Linked DNA regions of Chlamydomonas reinhardtii. The protein of the gene in region 2 binds, or shares a complex with, the protein of the main gene of each other region. Links are inferred from orthologs where the notes say so. Each region holds a gene or a part of one and is shown on either strand. Other genes may lie near its edges. The genes, in order: CHLRE_12g498050v5, CHLRE_13g573450v5 and CHLRE_12g487600v5.

The links.
Region 1: CHLRE_13g573450v5 (region 2) and CHLRE_12g498050v5 share a complex: the UniProt entries of both Arabidopsis thaliana proteins name them as parts of the CPSF complex. The link is inferred for Chlamydomonas reinhardtii from reciprocal best matches to the Arabidopsis thaliana genes CPSF160 and CPSF73-I.
Region 3: CHLRE_13g573450v5 (region 2) and CHLRE_12g487600v5 share a complex: the UniProt entries of both Arabidopsis thaliana proteins name them as parts of the CPSF complex. The link is inferred for Chlamydomonas reinhardtii from reciprocal best matches to the Arabidopsis thaliana genes CPSF160 and CPSF100.

What each region holds. Positions count from the first base shown.
Region 1 is NC_057015.1:3,285,306-3,291,614, forward strand, and holds the start of CHLRE_12g498050v5 (uncharacterized protein), read right to left. Parts: upstream 3,944-6,309; 5' UTR 3,780-3,943; coding exon 3,646-3,779; intron 3,579-3,645; coding exon 3,407-3,578; intron 2,988-3,406; coding exon 2,901-2,987; intron 2,491-2,900; coding exon 2,398-2,490; intron 1,957-2,397; coding exon 1,806-1,956; intron 1,556-1,805; coding exon 1,416-1,555; intron 1,226-1,415; coding exon 1,154-1,225; intron 924-1,153; coding exon 840-923; intron 574-839; coding exon 382-573; intron 87-381; coding exon 24-86; intron 1-23. Other genes in the region: CHLRE_12g498000v5 (uncharacterized protein), read left to right, coding at 4,678-4,857, 4,960-5,055, 5,179-5,241, 5,437-5,976, 6,146-6,255. UniProt on the Arabidopsis thaliana protein: Component of the cleavage and polyadenylation specificity factor (CPSF) complex that play a key role in pre-mRNA 3'-end formation, recognizing the AAUAAA signal sequence and interacting with poly(A) polymerase and other factors to bring about cleavage and poly(A) addition.
Region 2 is NC_057016.1:1,601,030-1,606,732, reverse strand, and holds part of CHLRE_13g573450v5 (uncharacterized protein), read right to left. Parts: coding exon 5,619-5,703; intron 5,315-5,618; coding exon 5,207-5,314; intron 4,943-5,206; coding exon 4,854-4,942; intron 4,367-4,853; coding exon 4,192-4,366; intron 3,845-4,191; coding exon 3,701-3,844; intron 3,436-3,700; coding exon 3,330-3,435; intron 2,978-3,329; coding exon 2,865-2,977; intron 2,432-2,864; coding exon 2,023-2,431; intron 1,815-2,022; coding exon 1,693-1,814; intron 1,400-1,692; coding exon 774-1,399; intron 1-773. UniProt on the Arabidopsis thaliana protein: CPSF plays a key role in pre-mRNA 3'-end formation, recognizing the AAUAAA signal sequence and interacting with poly(A)polymerase and other factors to bring about cleavage and poly(A) addition.
Region 3 is NC_057015.1:1,469,787-1,476,159, forward strand, and holds the start of CHLRE_12g487600v5 (uncharacterized protein), read left to right. Parts: upstream 1-2,448; 5' UTR 2,449-2,689; coding exon 2,690-2,838; intron 2,839-3,104; coding exon 3,105-3,273; intron 3,274-3,809; coding exon 3,810-4,117; intron 4,118-4,420; coding exon 4,421-4,548; intron 4,549-4,823; coding exon 4,824-4,935; intron 4,936-5,116; coding exon 5,117-5,213; intron 5,214-5,637; coding exon 5,638-5,730; intron 5,731-6,090; coding exon 6,091-6,198; intron 6,199-6,373. Other genes in the region: CHLRE_12g487650v5 (uncharacterized protein), read left to right, coding at 1-92; CHLRE_12g487652v5 (uncharacterized protein), read left to right, coding at 1,026-1,161, 1,472-1,545. UniProt on the Arabidopsis thaliana protein: CPSF plays a key role in pre-mRNA 3'-end formation, recognizing the AAUAAA signal sequence and interacting with poly(A)polymerase and other factors to bring about cleavage and poly(A) addition. Required for antisense-RNA-mediated gene silencing.

The DNA.
Region 1 (6,309 bases), on a different chromosome or scaffold from region 2:
GTCTCGGGCCAGGCGGCACCCACCCTGCGGCCCTCCCGGGTGGTGATGGAGCTGGGGCCGCCCAGGATCTCCTTGGCCAGAGTGCCCTGCGGTGGAGAGGGCGGCAGCGGCGGCGGTGGTGAGCTAGGCATCGTGAGAGGTACGTATGGTACCGAATCATAAGTTATGCCGGCTGCAAGCGGCATGCCCGGAGCACCGTGACGGAAGCCTCTGTCCAGCACCCGTCCCCGTCCACTCCCTTAGGCCCTGGCACTGCACCCGCACAGACGCGCAGACGAACAAACACATAGACGTGAACGCCCCTGAGCACTACAGCGTGCACACCGACGCACGGACGCACACACACGCCCCTCCCTAAACTGACAGCCCGCCTCTCCTCACCTGCACCGCGAAGTCGCAGATGATGCAGGTGTTGCGGCTGTCCTCGCACCAGGCCTCAAAGAAGTCCCGGCTGGCGCCACTCTGCAGCCCCGAGGGCGTGGCCATGATGACGCAGGGGCCGCTGTAGTCGGAGATGAAGTGGGCGGGGTTCTTGAGCGTCTGCACATGCCGGAACTTGAAGGGGTTGCGCTCCTGAAGGGCCGCGACGGGACGCAGAGGGGCAAGGGAAAGGGGGTGGAGACATCGTTAGCGCGTGGAGCGGTCGGAGAGCGCTGGACGAGGGCAACAACTGCAACAGTAAGTACATAATGGGAAAACCGCTGCGGGGCTGTCAGCACGGGTTGGGCCAAGCCGCAGGCGCCGCATGTCGAGCTACCGGGCGCTGTCCCTCAAGGGGGCCCCAACCAGCCCCCTTGGCCCCCTTTGGCCCCGCCCCCCTTGGCCTCGCCGCTGCTCACGTGGAAGACCCTCTTGATGTCGTCGTTGAGTGACTCCACGTACGTCTGGTACACACCAAGTGCCTTGCTCATCATAGAGCTGGCCTGTGGGGCGGGTGGGTGGGGTCCATGCATACTACTTTGTACGACGATTTGGGGGGGGGGCCCGGCCGGAGAAGAGTGGAGGAGGTTCTGAAGGAGTAGGCGTTGCTACTGGGTGCGTTGTTGAGAAGCTAGGCAGCAAAGATTTAATACATGCCAGCCCTTGGGTGCCGCCAGCAGTCGGAGTGCGCATTGGTGAGCGCACAAGCGCACAAGCGCACACACACACACACCTGGTATATGGGTATGCCGCTCAGCTCCGACTTGTGCGCCTCCCAATACTCGTCCAGCAGCAGCAGCAGCTCCTGCGGGAGTGGGGGCACAGGCAGGCGGCGTGGCCACACGGCAGGTAGATTGCATTGGGTATGAGATGGGTAGGGATGGATGCGCGGGACTGGCAGTGCGTGCGCGAGACCACAGCCCGCCGACCAGCCATGGCTGCTTTGACAAGTATCCTCCTCCCCCAGTTCCCCTCGCGCTCGCCGGCTGCCCCACCTGCGCGCGCCCCAGCGCCACCACGGGCATGATGACTCGGCCGCCGCGGTTGATGGTGTTGCGGATGGTGTCCAGCAGCAGCTGCTCGCGCTGCAGGCGGGGCAGGTGCCGGCTGGTGCCGTACGTGCTCTCCACAATCACTGCAGCAAGCAGCAGCAGCAGCAGCACCGCAGCACAGCAGCACAGCAGCACAGCAGCACAGCAGCAACAACATGAGAATTCGCATCGCAATCCACTCCACGCATGCGCATGAACAAGGGCAACAGGGACACTGCTGGCCCACCATGACCCGCACCGCCCGCACCCCGCCACCAAGCCCCGCCGGGGCCCCTACCCTGTGTCCCTACCCTCCACCACTCGCTCCAGCCGCCGCCGCCGCCACCAGCTCACCTATGTGCGGCTTGACGGGCGGTATGTCTGCCGCGGGCAGGTGCCTGTCCGGCAGGCGGCTGTAGTCGCCTGTGTAGAGGCACCTGCAGCCCGCCACCTCCACCAGGAACATGGCGGCACCCAGCACGTGGCCGGCCCGGTACGGCGTGATCTGCAGGCGCAAGGGCAGCAGCAGGGGGGATTGTGTGCGCAAGCCTAACGAAACACGGTAGGTCCCAATAATCAAGGTATAGCCGCCCGGGGGGAAGAAAGGGGAGCTGGTACGGGCGAGCAGTGCAGCGACAGAGCGCGAGCAGCAGCCACACCATGCAGGCCACACGGCGCGGATCAGCGCCTCGGGACCTGGCGCTGATCCGTGGCGTGTGATCCGGGAAGCGGCCCGCGCATTTGTCCCAGCGTGCTCTTGCTGCACCCCACCCTCCCCACTTGCGCTGCCCCCACCCCGGTGCTGCCCGGCCCCGCACCACCGACTGACGCGCCCACCGACCCAGCCACCAACTCGCCCACCCAACCACCACCACCTCCCACCTCCCCGCTGCCCCCTCGCCCCCACATCCCGCCCCCCGCCCCCAACACACACACCCGATCGCACCTGCATTCCCGCCACCTCGATGGTCTGGTAGAAGTCCACCACCTCGATGCGCTGCATGCTGGCCTCCAGGTCGTCCTCATTGAACAAAGCCTCCTGCAGGCGGGGAGGCGGAGGGAAAGGGGAAGTTCGTTCCGGAGGCCAATAAGAACCCGAGGAGAAGTGGAAGCAAGCTGTTTGCACCGTTTCCATGATCATCAAGATTGTAAAGAGAAAGGGGGCGGCAGAAGGGGCATCGCGGCGATTTGGTGTGGGGGGGGGGGGCGGGGTGGGGGTGACAAGGACATAGGGCGCCCTGACAGCCTTCGTGAGTAAAACCCGGCTTCCCTCTCCCTCCTTCCGGGCCGCCACGGGCGCCCTCCCCCACCTCCCGTAAGTCTTCTCGCTGGCGACTGCCGCCTTTGCCTGTGCTCCGCTAATTTGGCTTGGCTTAGTTTAGCCATTCGCATGAATGGCTACCCCCCTTTATTTTAGGATTCGAATGAACTATCCCCCCAGCCCCGCACCTCGCTGCTGTGCTTGGAGCCCTTGGCCAGGTCCCGCAGCAGCGAGTAGTAGATGGCCTTGGTGGGGTGCGTCATGAAGATGCGGCCCTGTCCAGTGAGAGGAGGGGAGGAGAGGGGAGCGGAGGATGTGCAATGGATCAAATACAGGGGCAAGGGTGCAAGCAAGCAGGAAACGCAGCAAGTAATCCCGGCATTCGGGCAGCAGAGATAGGGGTGTGGAGTTGAAGGGCGGGGGGCAGAGCGGGTTGCGCCGTGTGTGCATGGCCCCGGAGGATGACGAGTGGAGGCAGTACGCTATACTGAAACCCACCAAACCCGCCCAATCCTGGGCGGCACCGACGTGCGCAGCGTTCGCCGCGGACCCACGCCTCTGCTGGCGGGCGACGTACTGCGCTTGCGGGCCTTGCACCCCGGCTGAGTCTGTGCTTTACTGCCCCTCCGCAACAGCAGCTCCATCATGCCGCCCAGCCTCCAACCCCTGCCCTACCGCCACATTCATCCCGCACCTTGAAGCGGGTCTTTCGCAGCAGGTAGGGGACCGCGGCGCAGTGATCCAGGTGGAAGTGGGTGATGAGCGCCACGTCCACCGTGTCAATGTCGATTTCGTCCAGCAGGGGCAGGCTATCCATTCCCTTGAAGGCGGGATGGATGCCACAGTCAAACATAACAGTCTTGTCCCTGTGTGCGGTGCGTATATGTAAGCGTTCGCGACGAGCGTGCTGGCCATCGATCACCCCGCACTCACTGGTACTTGAAGATAATACATGAGCGGCCCACTTCTGAGCCAGCTCCTAGAGGAATGATATGTGCATGCGTGGACGTGTCAGGCTCGCCGTCAGCGGGCCCTTCATCTATTTTCCGCTTCGCCGTTGCTGCCATCCTATCTAAGTCAAGCAGCTCTTGCGTGCTATCTAACGTTTAGATTAGTTACAGTTCCTTTTTGCCATCCGATGAGCCCGAGCGCTCAAAGCAAACGTAAGTAACCTTCACGACGGGCCACTCGACTTGTAGAGGACGCGAAACTGCTTGTTTGAGAGCTTTAGGTATTGATAGCCAGCGGGGTCGGCATAGGGGCAGCCTTTCGGCTGCATCGCTCGTCAGATCGACACACACTCAAGCGCCCCCCCCCCCCTCGTCTCTTGGACCCCCAAAGGTTTTAAGTCACTATGCCGCCCACGGTACGCATATCTAGACATGACAGGCGGGCCGAAGTAGAACGTGCTGTACCTCCCCCACCCTTGCATGCTCATCAAGCACAAGCAGAAAGGGTTCGCCCAACCCGTAGCGGCAATGTCTGACGCGGTTGGGCCCAGGGGGGGGCGGAGCCTGGCTGGCCTGGCAGCGCAAGCTCTTGGTCTTGCACTCTTGCCTGCTTGCTACTAAGCAGTGATACACATTACATTGAGGTTGTTCTCCAGTCTGTGCAGAAGGTGAGGCAGTGAGGCACTGAGGCCCTTTTGATGAAGACGCTGGATCCAACGGCCACCTTCACAGACAGCGCAGTGAGGGTAGCTACCTCTGCACGAATGTCAGGTCCTCATAAGATAAGAGTTTCACGTATACACTTATGTGCCTCCAAGGCACTCATGCCGTATAAGCCCTAGAACTCGCACTCGCAGCGGTGTCAACTCGAGGCCAGTCTCACGCGCACACGAAGTAATTACGGTCACGGCTTACGCGCGACGCAGCCTGCATTGTCTGCAAACAAGTCACTTCAATGCCGGCTAGCAGCGAGCGTGACTGTCCCAGCCCAAACATGTTAACCCGCATTGCCGAAATGAAGGCGACCGCAACGCCGCCAACATTAGTCGACCTGCCCGGGGAGCTCCTCAATACCATCCTGTCAATGGTGGACGCTGAGACGCTGGCACTGTCTGTTCCATCAGTTTGCACGACTTTCCGGGCTGCAACGATGGAGACATCGGTGTGGCAGGAGCACATTCCGCCACATGCGCTGGTGCGTTGGGCCTTGCTTCTTGTTTCAAGGTGCCCGACCACCCCCACACAGCGCGCGACCTGTGCATTACGATGACGCAACCGCACCCACATCCGCACGCAGTCACAGCTGGCAGCGCTTCAAGCGCTGGGGTCCCGCCCGTTGCGGCTGGGCCACCTGTACCTCGCCCTGTGCGGCCGCAACCTGCTGCGCAACCCCGTGAGTGCCGAATGCAAAGCCGCAATCTATGGCAAATAGCGTGCTGGATAGTGAGCTGGGGCATATGGGACCCAGCGTTTATGTCGAGACCATCCCCTCGTTGTTTCGTGCCTGCACCAACAGGGCTTCCGACGGGAGTGCAATACACCCACGCTGTGGGGAGGAGGCGTGGAGAGGACGGCCTGGGTGAGTGGCAGGGTGCATGCGGGTCAGGGAATACGCGGCCGCGCTAAGCCCAAAACTACAGTAGGGTTGCCTGTAGGTTTGGGGACGATTGCACGTACGGTTGTACCCAGTGTCAATCCACGCATATGTCCTCGTACCCTGACATCCACCTAGCTACCGCCACGCCGCGGCCGCGCTTTCTGTTTGCACACGTAGGTGGTGAACCAGTCTGTAGGCAAGGAGGTGTCATGGGAGCGGGTGCCGCAGGGGATGACACCGCCGCCCTTGCCACGAAGAGCCGCACCGGCTGCACCGTCGGCGCAAGCGCAGCCGCAACAGCAGCAGCAGCCACCGCAAAACAGGATGGGCGGGCCCGCCAATCCTGTTTTGCCTCATGCTCAGCCGCTGGCACCCCCGCCCCCGCTGCCATATCCCTCCTGTCGGCACGCTGCGGCAGCTACTGGCACGGGTGGTGAGGGCGCAGGCGGCGGCGCTGGCAGATTGGCGTCCGCAATGCGACGGGCTCTGCAGGGTTTGCGCGAGTTTGCCTCTGAAGGGGTGGCGGCGCTAGAAGAGGGGCTGCTTCTGAGAGGCCAGCCGGCAACGGAGCCGGAGGCGGCCGACTCAGGGCCTGTTGATGTCGTTGCGCTTGCTCGACATGGACCAGGCGCACCGGCATCAGCTGCCACGTCCACATCACACGCAGTCGAGCGGCCGTGTCTGGCTATGCTTGGCAGCTGGTCTGAGGTGGTGCAGGTGTGTGTGGCGTGTGCGTGTGTTTTGTTGTGTGCACTTCTCCAGGGTTGGCCTATCTATCTATAGAAACAGCTGCAGGTGCGACCTGATGCGCATAGGGTTTGCGGCTGCCGTTGTAACCACAGCATCACAATTCGTGTACACATGCTCCGTGGCTGCGCTGCTGCAGGTGGTTGACCTGCAGTGGGAGCTGCAGCGGCGCGGGCTGAGTGCGGCGCAGGCGGCCCACCTGCTGGACGCGGGGCTGGGGCTGAGGCTGGCTGTGCACGTGGGGAGCAGGTGCGTGAAGCGCGCCTCGGCACACCTGGGAAACTGGTGGGCGGGGGGCGGGGC
Region 2 (5,703 bases):
ACGCCGGAGGGGCGGGCAGCTAGGCGCGCGCGGCAAGCCCAGTTCGACAGCCTGGTGGAACGGGGTCTGCAGCCGTACTGGCGGGGCACGGACATCGTCACTGAGGAGGGGGACCGGCGCTGCGTACACCCCGTGCAGTAATGCACATGGCGGATAACTGAGAGGGGCGCGCATTGTGTGTGTGTTTAAGTCCAGCGGAAGTTAGGCTTGTTGGGAATGCAGGGCTAGGGCACAGACGGTTTTGGTTATTGATCCTCTCTCTCACTTTGTGGCTGCCCTTAGGCATATCCTGCCCTGTGGGGAAGGGAAGGTAGCTAGTGCCGGCGGGGTGCTTGTTTTGCGGTTGCTGCGGCCACGTGCCGGACTTGGACGGTACATGACTTTTTGCTAGGCGAACAAACAATGCATAGTGGCCAGCTGCCGGCTCGCAGCAGTGTTGATATAGACGGAGGTGCGGCTTCTAGGGCCAAACCGACGTCTCACAATATAGACAGAGGTGCGGCTCTTAGGGCCAAATCAGTGTCTAACCACAATAGATGGAGGTGCGGCTCCTGTGGCCAAACTGACGTCTAACGCTACGCGTAGGCTTGGGAGACATGTACTGCCAGACCCATGCGCGACAAACAAGGTGCTAATGCGCCCCTGGCACTAGCAACTACGGGTTGTCCGGATACACGATCACGTGATCTGATAAACAACTGTAAACCGTTGTCACACACACACACACACACACACACACACACACACACACACACACACACATACACACACACCTGGTGGTGACGTCGTCCAGCCCCTCGGCGCACTTGAGCACCATGGTCCGCGCCCTGCCCATGGTGATGAGCAGGAAGGCGTGGTAGCTGGGCTGACCCCCGCCGCCACCGCCGCCGCCCGCTCCCTTGCCCGGCTGCGACACAGGCACGATGGCGCCCGCCGCCGCCACTGGCTCCGGCGAGCGGCCGCGCTTGGCGCCCGAGGCAGCGGCGGCTGTAGCAGGAGCTCCGTCCGCCGGCTCTCCGGCTTTCACGGCTGTAGCAGCGGCGCCCTCAGCGGCGGCGGCGGCGGCGGCGTCTGCCTCCGTCCCCCCGGGCTGGGGCTTGACTGCCGCCGGCTTGGGGCTCGTAGCCCGCTCCTTGCCCCCCGCCTCTCCCTCGCCATCTCCCTCCGCCTCTCCCTCCGCCTCTCCCTCCGCCGCCGCCTCCCCGTCACCGTCTTCGCCGACCTCGGCCCCGTCTGCCTCCGCCGCCAACTCCTCGGCCGGGCCCCCGCCGTCGTCTGGGTCGTCGTCTGGGTCGCGGTGCCGCACTGCGAACACGCCGGCAATGCCCGCCAGCCCCACCTCAGTCACCACGTCAGGCACCAGCCCCTGACGCGCCAGAACCAGCGCGCCCGTCTGGCCCTGTGTGTGTGCGTGTGGTGTGTGGTAAAGAGCGCAAGGAAAAGTAAGCGCGAAGGATGTGTGTGCGATGCAGCGACGCGACGGCATACGGCTATAAGCTGCCCTGTGTGTGTAATGTGTGTGTATGTGTGGTGGTGGACTGGGGTTGTATGGTGGTTGATGTGGGTAAGGATGCGGCACGGGCGGGTGCAAGTCACACTTGGCAGGAGCGCACATCGACTGCTGCAGTCCGACGCCCACATCTCGCTACAACGCACGACAACGGAGTAACAAACACAAAGGCGCACACGCACCTGCCCCACACACAGGAAGCTGGTGGGCCCGCCCCGGCTGGCGCCTAGGGGGCCGCCGCCGCCGCCGCCGGCGGTGTACGGCGACACGGAGGTGTCCACGTGGAGGAGGTCGCGCACGGGGCCTGTCACATGCGAGTGCACATGTGCGCGAGCATGCGCAAGTGAGCGGTATGGAAGGAGGCACGCAGGACGGTGTGTGCAATGCGGTGCACAAGTGTACGCGTGTGTAAGAGCTGAAGAGAAGGAGGCGTAACCGCATGGTGTATCAGCCACGCGTGTGATAACCTGACACGTTTACGTGACCCTTCTCGCGACCCTTTGGAAACCCACCCAGTGACGGCAGGGAGTCCAACAGCCGCAGGTTAAAACGCTGCGGCCCCACGCCGCCCTCCGCCGCCGCCACCTTGGCGGCGGCGGCTGCGCCCGCCGCCGCCGCCGCCGCCACCGCCGCACTGCGATTGGTCAACGCCGCGCCGGCACCGCCGCCATCGCCACCCATGTCGGCCCCGCCCACACGCTTCTGACGCTTCGCCGCCGGGCCCTCCGCCGCATTGTCCGTACGCGGTTTTAACTGCATGAGTACGGAGTCGCCTGTCCAGGATCCAAGGAAGATGAGGCCCTTCGGTCCGCGGTACAAATCGTACGGTAGGTTGCCAGTGGCGGCGGCGGCGGCGGAGCCCAGGGCCGCCGCCGCCACGGCGGCGGGCGCGCGCGCCGCCGCTGCCATTGTGAGTCCCACCTGCACAGGGCAGAGCATTACAGCGGAAGGGCATTACTAAGATACGAACTGCCAGGACTGGACTACACACCGGGCACCAGAGGCGTCACGCGCAAGCCTTGGTCCGCTTTACCGCCACGCACCCAGCTCCAATGGCTGCAACTTGTGTCCCCCCAAACGCCGCAGCTCGCGTTCTTCCCGGCCCGCTCGTGTTCATGCCTTGCTAATCCGACCCCCTCTCCGTCTCCATCTCCAGGTCAACTCCCAGCCCCTCGCTCCAGTCCCTCCTGCATTCTCCAGCCCACCCCTACAACCCGTCGTGTGATGGGACTTTTTCACCGGGCTCGGGCACATTAACCCCCACCCCGCTCGCTCTTTTGCATTGGGTTTGGATTAGTTTGGGCCGGTATCACCTCCAACCCCCAGCTCCCGACCCTCCCAGCTGCCCCCCCACCATGGCTGTGGCCACCGGCCCTCCGCCTGTGCGCACAGCGGTGATGCGCTGCTCCGGCGGCACGTGCGGCTCCAGGCGCAGGTGCAGCGCTAGCAGCGAGCCGCTCTGCAGGCCTGTGGGAGGCAAGGTGGAGTGGGGCAGCGCGGTGTCAGGCTGATGACAACTGTCGTGAACTACAGAATGACCCCAACAGGGCCTATTACTTGCGAGTCATTCCCCTGATATAGGGAGAATGGGGTAGAGGTCGTATCACGACAACAACAATCATTCAATCATAACCCGTCCTGCAACCGCCGAACCGCTTCGGTGCTTCAGCTCGTCGACCCAGTCCTCCAAAGCTGGAGTAGTCAACCACGCCATGTCTACCTCGCTACACTTCTCTGTACTTCTCTGTACCGTCTTTGCAACCCCGACCCGGCCCCCACAGCCCTCCTCCTGCACCGCCTCCCTCCCCCCACGCCTCACCCAGCAGGCAGGTGGTGGGGCTGAGCCAGGCTGCGCTGGCGCCCGCCGCCACCGCCTCCAGGTCGCCCACCAGGGCGGCGGAGCGGCCCAGCGCGGGGGCGCAGTCCTGAGCAGCAGCAACGGAGGTGAGAGGCGGGAGGCGAGAGGTGGGAGGTGGGAGGTGAGAGAGAGGGACAAGGGAGGCGAGGGGTGAGAGGCGAGGGGTGAGAACATGCGCAGAGTCCAGCCTTTCCCCGACTTCGGAGTGATGATGCTTTGCTAACATACACAAACACAATTACACACGCATACACGCACACACACAAACACGCACACACACAAACACGCACACACACACACACACACACACACACACACACACACACACACACCGGGTGCACGTTGAGCGCGAACTCCGCCGCCATCCGGGCCGCGGTGACGGAGGGCGCCTCGCGGGCGGGGTCGAACACCAGCGGCGGCGGCGCCTCGCCGGGCAGAGCGGTGGAGTTGAGGGCCGCCGCCTGGGGCTGGGAGGCCTGGGGGGTGGGGTGGCGTGGGGGTAAGGGGGGTAGGCATTCTTGTGAGCGGTTGGGGGATTGGCGATTTGGAGCAGGAGCAGAAGCAGTGAAGGAATGGCGCCACCAGCACTCTTTTGCATGGGGGCTGGCTCCCCTCCCACCGCACGCACCGCACGCACCGCACGCACCGCACGCACCGCACGCACCGCACGCACTGGTCACCCACCTTACTACCCGACCGCATACCCCGCCTGAGCATGCCACAATGCCCACCCTTCCATGTTGTAACCTATCTACACGTCCACCGTGCCCTACCGCCGTGCTCGACCGCTGTGCTCTGCCCCTCCCAGCCCCAGCCCACGCACCTGCGACGTGAGCATGACCAGGCTGGGGCTGAGCACCAGCGCCGCGGGCCGCTGCGGCAGCGGCAGCAGGCGGTAGCAGTCGTAGGGCAGGCCGGCGGCGCGCCACAGCACGGTGTGGCGCTTGAGGCGCAGCGACACGGAGATGGCGGTCAGGCAGCACGTGTCCTTGCGCTCGCTGGGGGGTGAGCCAGGGGGGTTGGGTGGGGGCCACAGGGGGGGGGCGGGATGGGGATGGGGATGGGGGCCGGGTGAACGGGAGGTGGAGGAGGCATGGCTAGTTGCCAGGACGGCGGTGGGCAAGGGGCAGGGGTTTGTGGTGTGCCAGCCCTGCGGAACCAGCCCGGGCCCCCACGGCCACACGCATGCGCGCCTCTAGACGTCCGCAACCCCGAAACAGTGACAATGCGCCTCTGAATGCACCGTAACAGCACGGGTTGGCCCCACCCAACCACCTCCAGCCCCGACCACCGCTAGCCCCAACCACCTCCAGCCCCGACCACCGCTAGCCCCAACCACCTCCAGCCCCGACCACCGCTAGCCCCAACCACCTCCAGCCCCGACCACCGCTAGCCCCAACCACCTCCAGCCCGCGTTTTTCTCCCCCCCCTCCGCCCCCCGGCCCCCCCCCCTCCGCCCCCCCCCTCCGCCACCGGGCGCCTCACCGCAGGCGGCCCGCCCAGGTGGGGTCGGGCTCGTGCAGCAGCAGCAGCACCGGCTCCGTGTAGCCGTGAAGGAACACACAGTCCCGGACCTGAGGGAGGCAGGGGAGGGGTTACATTCATGACTAGTTAAGAGGGGGAGGGGGAGGGGGAGAGGGAGGTTCCAGGCACGACTAGTCGTGGGCAGGAGGTTACAATTATACAAGCTAAGGAAATGGTAGACGGTAGGAGAACAGCCATCGGGGGGTGCCGTACGATAGCCGGGATGCGTGTCAGGACCGGTGCAAGGCTCTGGGTTTGGTTCTCGCAACCCCCCGCCCCACATCGCGGACATGCGCCCGCCCCTCGGCCCCCACCTCGCGGATACCCATCATCTTGTGTAGGTTGAGCACATAGCTGTTGCCCACAGCCGCCGCACTGCCCGCGCCACCCGAGCAGCCGCTCAGAGCCTCCAGCGCCTCACCCTGTGTGGGAGCAGCAGCAGGAATGGAGCAGCAGCAGGAGGGGGATGCACTGTTGAGCCCGATCCGGGCAGGTGCGGGGATGCTTCTCGACTCTCAGTGCAGGGCGCAACACGCAAGTAGAACACAATCGCCACCACGACCATTTCATCTCACCCCGCTCGCTCTGCACCATCTCGGCGTCCCATGCTTCTTTCAGCCGATGGCGAAGCCCAAACCCCTACCCCACCCAGGCACCCACCCCACCCCACACCCAAACCCCACACGCCACACCCACACGCCAAAACCCCCCACTCCCTCTCCCCACCTCAATGGCCGGCACCAGCGCCAGCTGACAGAAGTACATGACCACTGCCGCACACCGACCCGCCGGGTCAGCCACCACACGGGGA
Region 3 (6,373 bases), on a different chromosome or scaffold from region 2:
TGTTTGTGGTGGACGGTGTCAGTCGGTCTGTGCGTTTAACATCAGCTCCTATGGGGGCGCCCGGCCCCCGCAGCAGCGGTCGCAGGGCTTAGGCGCGTTGGGCGTAGAGGGACGCAGAACACACACGCACAGGTTCAATATGCAACGGTAGCTGTGAGTTCGGCGTTATGCGGGCCAAGAAGGATGCGATGCGAGGCTTGCTCAAGTATACGGTATGAAGGGTCAGTAGCAATGGCATGTTATTCATGTTCTTCATGTGTTTAGTTAACGCTTTGCTTGGGGAGTGCCGAGGAGTGCCGAACTTGGATTGCCGGGATGTGTGCTCACGAGGCCCGTGCGGGCGCCGCGACACCGGCAGGTTCTGTTAAAGATGCATGGGTGGAATGTTCAAGCAAGCCGGCCTGACGCACAAAATAACCTGTGGCAGCCTGTGTGGGTACAAGTTGCCCTGTGGAACAGTGGAAGGAGCAAGGAGCCGAGGTGCGTGCGTGAGGGTATGCGCGACTTTACAGGGCAGGCGCAGGCGCATGCAGCAGGACGAGCTTAACGCAGTGACAAAGGCGCCCGAAAAAGCAACCAGCTTACACAAACACCAGCACCCGAACAGCGTCGCCAAAGGCAAACCGCAGACGGCTGGTACTTCTCGGAACGGAATGCCGTTGCACCGCAGCCGTTAGTACCGAGCAACCCACCCATCCTCTGGGCACACGCCCTTGCATTGTACCGTAAATTGATAGAATTGCATCGCTATAATCAAATAGTTTCAAATTAACGACAAGCGGTTCCGATGCTCCAATGAAAGCGCGAAAGCGACTCCTCCATTAGCTCTAGCCAAGCCGCCTGCTGTTCCATCAATACTCATACTTGTTGATTACATCAATATGTGCAAGACAATAGCCCGGCCGTGCAACACAAGCGGTGTGGCGCCGGATTGGTTGCCATCGTGGACGCTGGTTCGCAGTCTTACAATGTGCCTGCCATTCGCAAGCGTTATCCATGCATAGTATGCGTCGCTTGATCGGGTCATGCATGTGCGCAGGGCCTCGACCGCTACACCCTGGCGGCGTGTCAGTACCAAAGTGCAAGCCAGCCCAAGGCACCCTACCTACCTGCCTAAGCCGGCGGGCACACCTCCCGCGGCGCGGAGACAGTCATGCGCGGGTGGGTATACCCGGGATAGTGTGTTCGGTGTGCAGCACTGAATGCGCTTACGTCGGAGTCCTCACATGGAACTTGAAGGCTATGTGGCCACGCTATGTGGCCCAAAAGGCGCTTTACCAGAACCTTGGGGACTACCCGGAGGGCAGGCAGTGCCAGAATGCAGTGCCGTGGGTGGCGGTATGTCCGGACGAGTGCATGGCATGTCCGCATGTGCCTGCATCCGTCACCGCGTCACGTATTTCTAAGATGCCAGCACGTCCGCATGCTGACAGGCCTTGTCCGTGGTGTTCGTTCTGCCCCTTCCCACCAGGCGAGCGGCGCTGCCCGAAGCCCCACCCGCACCCGGCTGGGGCGTCGGGCGCCGCCGCTCCCCCGCTTGCATGACTGGCTCCTCGCCGGCTGTGAGGCCTGCCCGCTGGCGGCTGTGGGTGCTGGTGCTGGCTCAAGTGCTGATGCCTTCTATGCAACATATGAACTGCTGTGGGACTGGATGGCGTATGGCTGTGCCAGGCATTCTGCATGCGGGCACGTATGTAGTGAGTTGATGGCCGTGGTCGATGGGTGTGCGATGGAACAGTGCTAAGGCAGGTTGGTGAAGTTCCGTAGGGTGCAGCTGATTTCCAGATCCCAGCAGATGGCAGACAACTTGCAATTGCAGTGCAGGAGCGCGCGGAACGATGGGTGCTTGACATGGCACACGACTACCGGTGACAACAGGCCAACAGCTAAAAAGTTCCGTAGGGGCGTGTCCGCAGAGTGCGCGCGCACGCAGGCCATTATAGGTAGCCCTGACTGGCCCTGAGTTCCGGTGGAGGTTTGCATGAAAAGCACAGTGGCGATATCCTGAGGTGTGACGGGAGGCGCCCGGTGCGGTTCATGTTGAGGGCACGCTCAGCCGAACACATCCAAATGGTCGAGGTGCTGGAAAGGAGCAGGGTTGCGTTTGTTACCGCCGCTTCTCAGTGCGCCTCCTAGTATGATAGCCACACGGAAAACACGATGCCACAAAAGAAGCGGCTTGAAGTTGTTGGCGTGGCGTTCGAGCAATGTGAGGGCAGTCGCCGATTCAAGAATCCCGTCCTGTAACCTTGAAACGAGGGTCATATACTCCCACCCTGTGAGCATGTCAGCACACACCGGTCACCTATGTCAGCCATCGGTGAGATGTCAGCGCCCCGGCGCCAGGCCGAGACGACTTCAACACGGCGGGGAAGGGAGGGGAAAACCCGGCACGCTCCGGCCATCGCGCCACACTAAACGTTTGTCGCGGGGGCCATTGCGATGGTCATCACTTACAAGTTCAAAGCAAAGCATTTCAACACATATCTGCGTCAGCGAGCTGTGTCTTTTGCGCAAGTAGTTTTGCCAGGTTTCTTGCAGTGCTTGTTTACGCGATCCAGCACACTTTAGATGAGCATAATGTAGACAATTCATCGTTAAGACCTCATGACAATACAAACACACGAGCGCGCGGAAATGGGCGACGCGCCGGGAAGGTCGAGGCGCTGAACTATAGCCTAGCGAAAGCATGGAGACAGTTGTCAGGTACACGCCGCTATGCGGCGTTGGCGAGGACTCGCCGCTGTGCTCACTGTTAGAGATTGACGACTACACCATCCTCCTGGACTGCGGCTGGGACGACAGCTTTGATGTTGCGCTGCTGGACCCAGTGCTCAAGTGCGTATGTGTGGCTCAGGGGAACTTCAGGAGGGCGGGTGAACTGGAAGGGATGGGCAGGGGGAAGGGGCGTGGGGAAGGGGTAGAAAGGGCCAAGGGAAGGGGCGTGTCTTTGGAACTCTGCCCAAAGAGTCCCTGTGTCCGGCGTGTGCCGCCGCCTGCATCCCTTTCCGCCTCCACCGCCACCCCCTCCCACCCCTGTCCATCCCCATGCTCCCCGGCACTCTCCCGCCACCTCATCCTCTCCCTCACCACCACCCCACCAGGGTGCTCCCGCGCATCGACGCGGTGCTGCTGTCCCACCCCTCGCCCGCGCACCTGGGCTCACTGCCCTACCTGGTGGGCCGCTGCGGGCTGGCGGCGCCGGTGTTCTCCACCAAGCCCACTCGCCGCATGGGCGAGATGTTCATGTTCGAGGCGTGCCTGGCGCACCAGGTGGGGAGGGGGAGGGGGAGGGGGGGGGGTTGCGGAGGGCGAGAGGGGAGGAAGGGGAGAGGGGTAGGGGAGCGGGGTGCTGTGAGTGTGAGAGATGTTGAACGCGGGATAAAGGGGTTGCCGAGGGTGGGAGAATGGGAGAAAGGGCTGGGGGAGAGGTACAGGATGGCTGTAGGGGATTTGTTTGCACGATGCCTGTGAGCGTCCGGGTGAGTGTGGGCCACTGGGGCGGGTTGGGAGGTGCGAGCGTGTCAAGACAGCATGGGTGGTTGTGTCTGCGGGCGAGGCCGGGACAGACTGTGTGGTCGTCCAATCCCGCGCACGGGTCTCCATCCTCGTATCCCACGATCAAGGCCTTCCATGCGGTCAGCTTACCGCCCCCTTCCTTTCCCTTGCTGTTCATGCTTCCCCCCCTGCTGCAACGACCTGTCAACATCACCGCGTCTTGATCAATCATGCATGGAATCCCCCTCTTATCTAATCACTCCATTCGCCGCATGAACGGCTACCCCCTCCCTGGGAATCGTGGTATCCAGGCCGTGTCGGACTTCGCCGCATACGACCTAGACGACGTGGACGCCGGGTTCCGACTGCACCCCCGCTGGACCGAGCTGCGCTACAGCCAGAAGCACCTGCTACTGCCGCCCGCGGCGCCCGGTGCTACAGCCGGCGAGGCGGGCGCAGCGGGGGCGGCGGGCGGGGGTCAGGGGCCGGCGGGCGGCGGCATTGCCATCACGCCACTGCCTGCGGGCCGCTACCCGGGCGGTGCAGTGTGGCGGCTGACGCTGTTGGGCAGTGGGCAGGAGGTGGTGTATGCGGTGGACTTCAACCACCGCAAGGAGAGGTGAGGCGGCGGGATGGGGGCGGCGCGTGGGGAGGGGGGGGGAGGCATTGTCTGTCGCCATGCACTGTAAGCTGTAGAAGCAACGGAGAGAAGGGGAGGCAGCATGCGCAATAAAGCCGGGGGGGGAGCTCAGAGGCCTTGCCATCGGTGATGCGACGCTGACATGACGGTGCCCTATGCGTTGCGCCGCCGCCCACTCCCTCTCCCCCGCTGTGGGCTGCTTAGGCTTCTGGGCCCCGGTGACTCGGTGACGTGGGGATTGGAGTTGACTGCCGGCCTCTCCGCCACCCCCACCCCCCACAGGCTTCTGAACGAGACCACTTTCACCACCGCACTGGCGGCGCTGCAGCCGGCGCTGCTCATTGGCGACGCGGTGAACGGCCTGGCGCCGCCGGCCCCGCCCCGACACAAGCGGGATGAGGAGTTCCTGGGTGCGTGCGCGTCATGGCCGGGCGCGTTTGCCGTTTGTGTGCACGCTGGGGCGTTGCTGGGCGTTACTTCGTTGCTCGCTCGCGGGCCCATGGCTTGGGCAGTGGGAGTCGCGGTGGCTGGAACCCTCCCTGTGATGTATGCACTCCGTCTTGCATACGGCTCCCCCCTCCGCTAGTTTGGCTTCGTTTGGTTCAGTTTGAGCTGGTATTCACAACCCCCACCCACTACCACTTCCTTAACTCTTCAAGAATGTACCCCCCTCTTGGTGTGACAGACGCCATCACGGCCACGGTGGAGGGCGAGGGCAACGTGCTCATACCCACGGACGCGGCGGGGCGAGTGTTGGAGCTGGCGCTGCTGCTGGACGAGCACTTCGCGCGGGCCAGGTGCGTGTGTGTGCGCGTGTCATCACCTCTTTACTTCTTGTTTGCATGTGGAGGTATATGTATGTGTGTTTGTGTGTGTATATGTGCGACAAGGTGTTGGGGTCTCGCCTCGTCGACTCAGGAGTTTCGCAGATCGGGCACTGCCCCTTCCCACTCCCCACGTGGCGCCACCCACCCACAGGATTGCGGCCACGCCTGTGGTGTTGTCGTACACGATCAAGACGGTGCTGGAGTTCGCGCGGACGCAGCTCGAATACCTGGGCAGCGAGATGGTGCAGGTGTGTGTGCGTGTGTGTGTGTGTGTGTGTGTGTGTGTGCGTGTGTGTGTGTGTGTGTGTGTGTGTGTGTGTGTGTGTGTGTGTGTGCGCATGCGTGTGTTACGGCAGCGCAAGGGTGAGGGTTGACACCGTGCGCGCTGAATCAGCAAGCAAGCAACGCCGCGTTTGTGTGAGCGTGTTTCATAGCATGAAGGAAAGCAGGACTGTGCATTCGATACAGAGTCTGTGTACTGGAATGTGCGTGTGCCCGAGTGTGGCAGCGTGTGTCTGCCGGGGCCCGGCCAGCGGACCCGACTGTGGGTGCCCCGACGCGCCAGCCCGGCATGCCCGCTGACCCGGCGCGCCCGCCCGCCAACTCACAATGCCAATACGGTCCACAATGCCAACGCCCCGCCTGTGCCCCCCCTCTCCCTCTCCCTCGCAGGCCTTCTCCCACAAGCGCACCATCCCCTTCACCTTCCGCAAGCTGGCCGTCATCACGCGGCTCGAAGACCTGGGGGCCATACCCGGACCCAAGGTGCGGCTGCGCGTTGTCGTGTGTGCATGTGGAGAAGCACGTTGCAGGGTAGAAGCGTTTTTGGCCATGTGTGTTTTACATGTTACGCCCAACCCGATGCGTTGGGATTCTCCCGTTTGGTCGTCAGCGGGGAGTCTGTCCCATGCCCGGCTTTACATAATGGCCATGCTCTCAGCAGCCAAACCTGGCATCCCTCCGCTTTCTCCCGCTGCCCCACCCGGTCGCGCCAGGACTGATCTGCTGCAACCTGTCAGCAACACCTCGTCTTGATTAAATCATGCATGGAACCCCCCTGTGCTCCGCTCGTTTTCAGTTGGTTTTGGTTTAGTTTTGGCTGGTATTTACAACCCCCCCCCTCAGGTTGTGTTGGCGACGCTGCCCTCCCTGGACTGCGGCCCGGCCCGCCAGTTGCTGGTGGATTGGGCGGCAGCGCCCCGCAACACCATCATATTCACGGAGCGGGCAAATGTGCGTGTGCGTGTACCGTGTGTGTGACACAGGCGGGGGGCGTTTACGAGGGAGCGGGGGGAGGTTCCCTGACCTGATTTACAGCACGCGAGACAGGGTGTGGGACCCCTGCTCTGTTATCCCTCCCTGCTGCTGCTGTCCGTATCGCGAACGGCGCTACTGCTACGCGCTTACC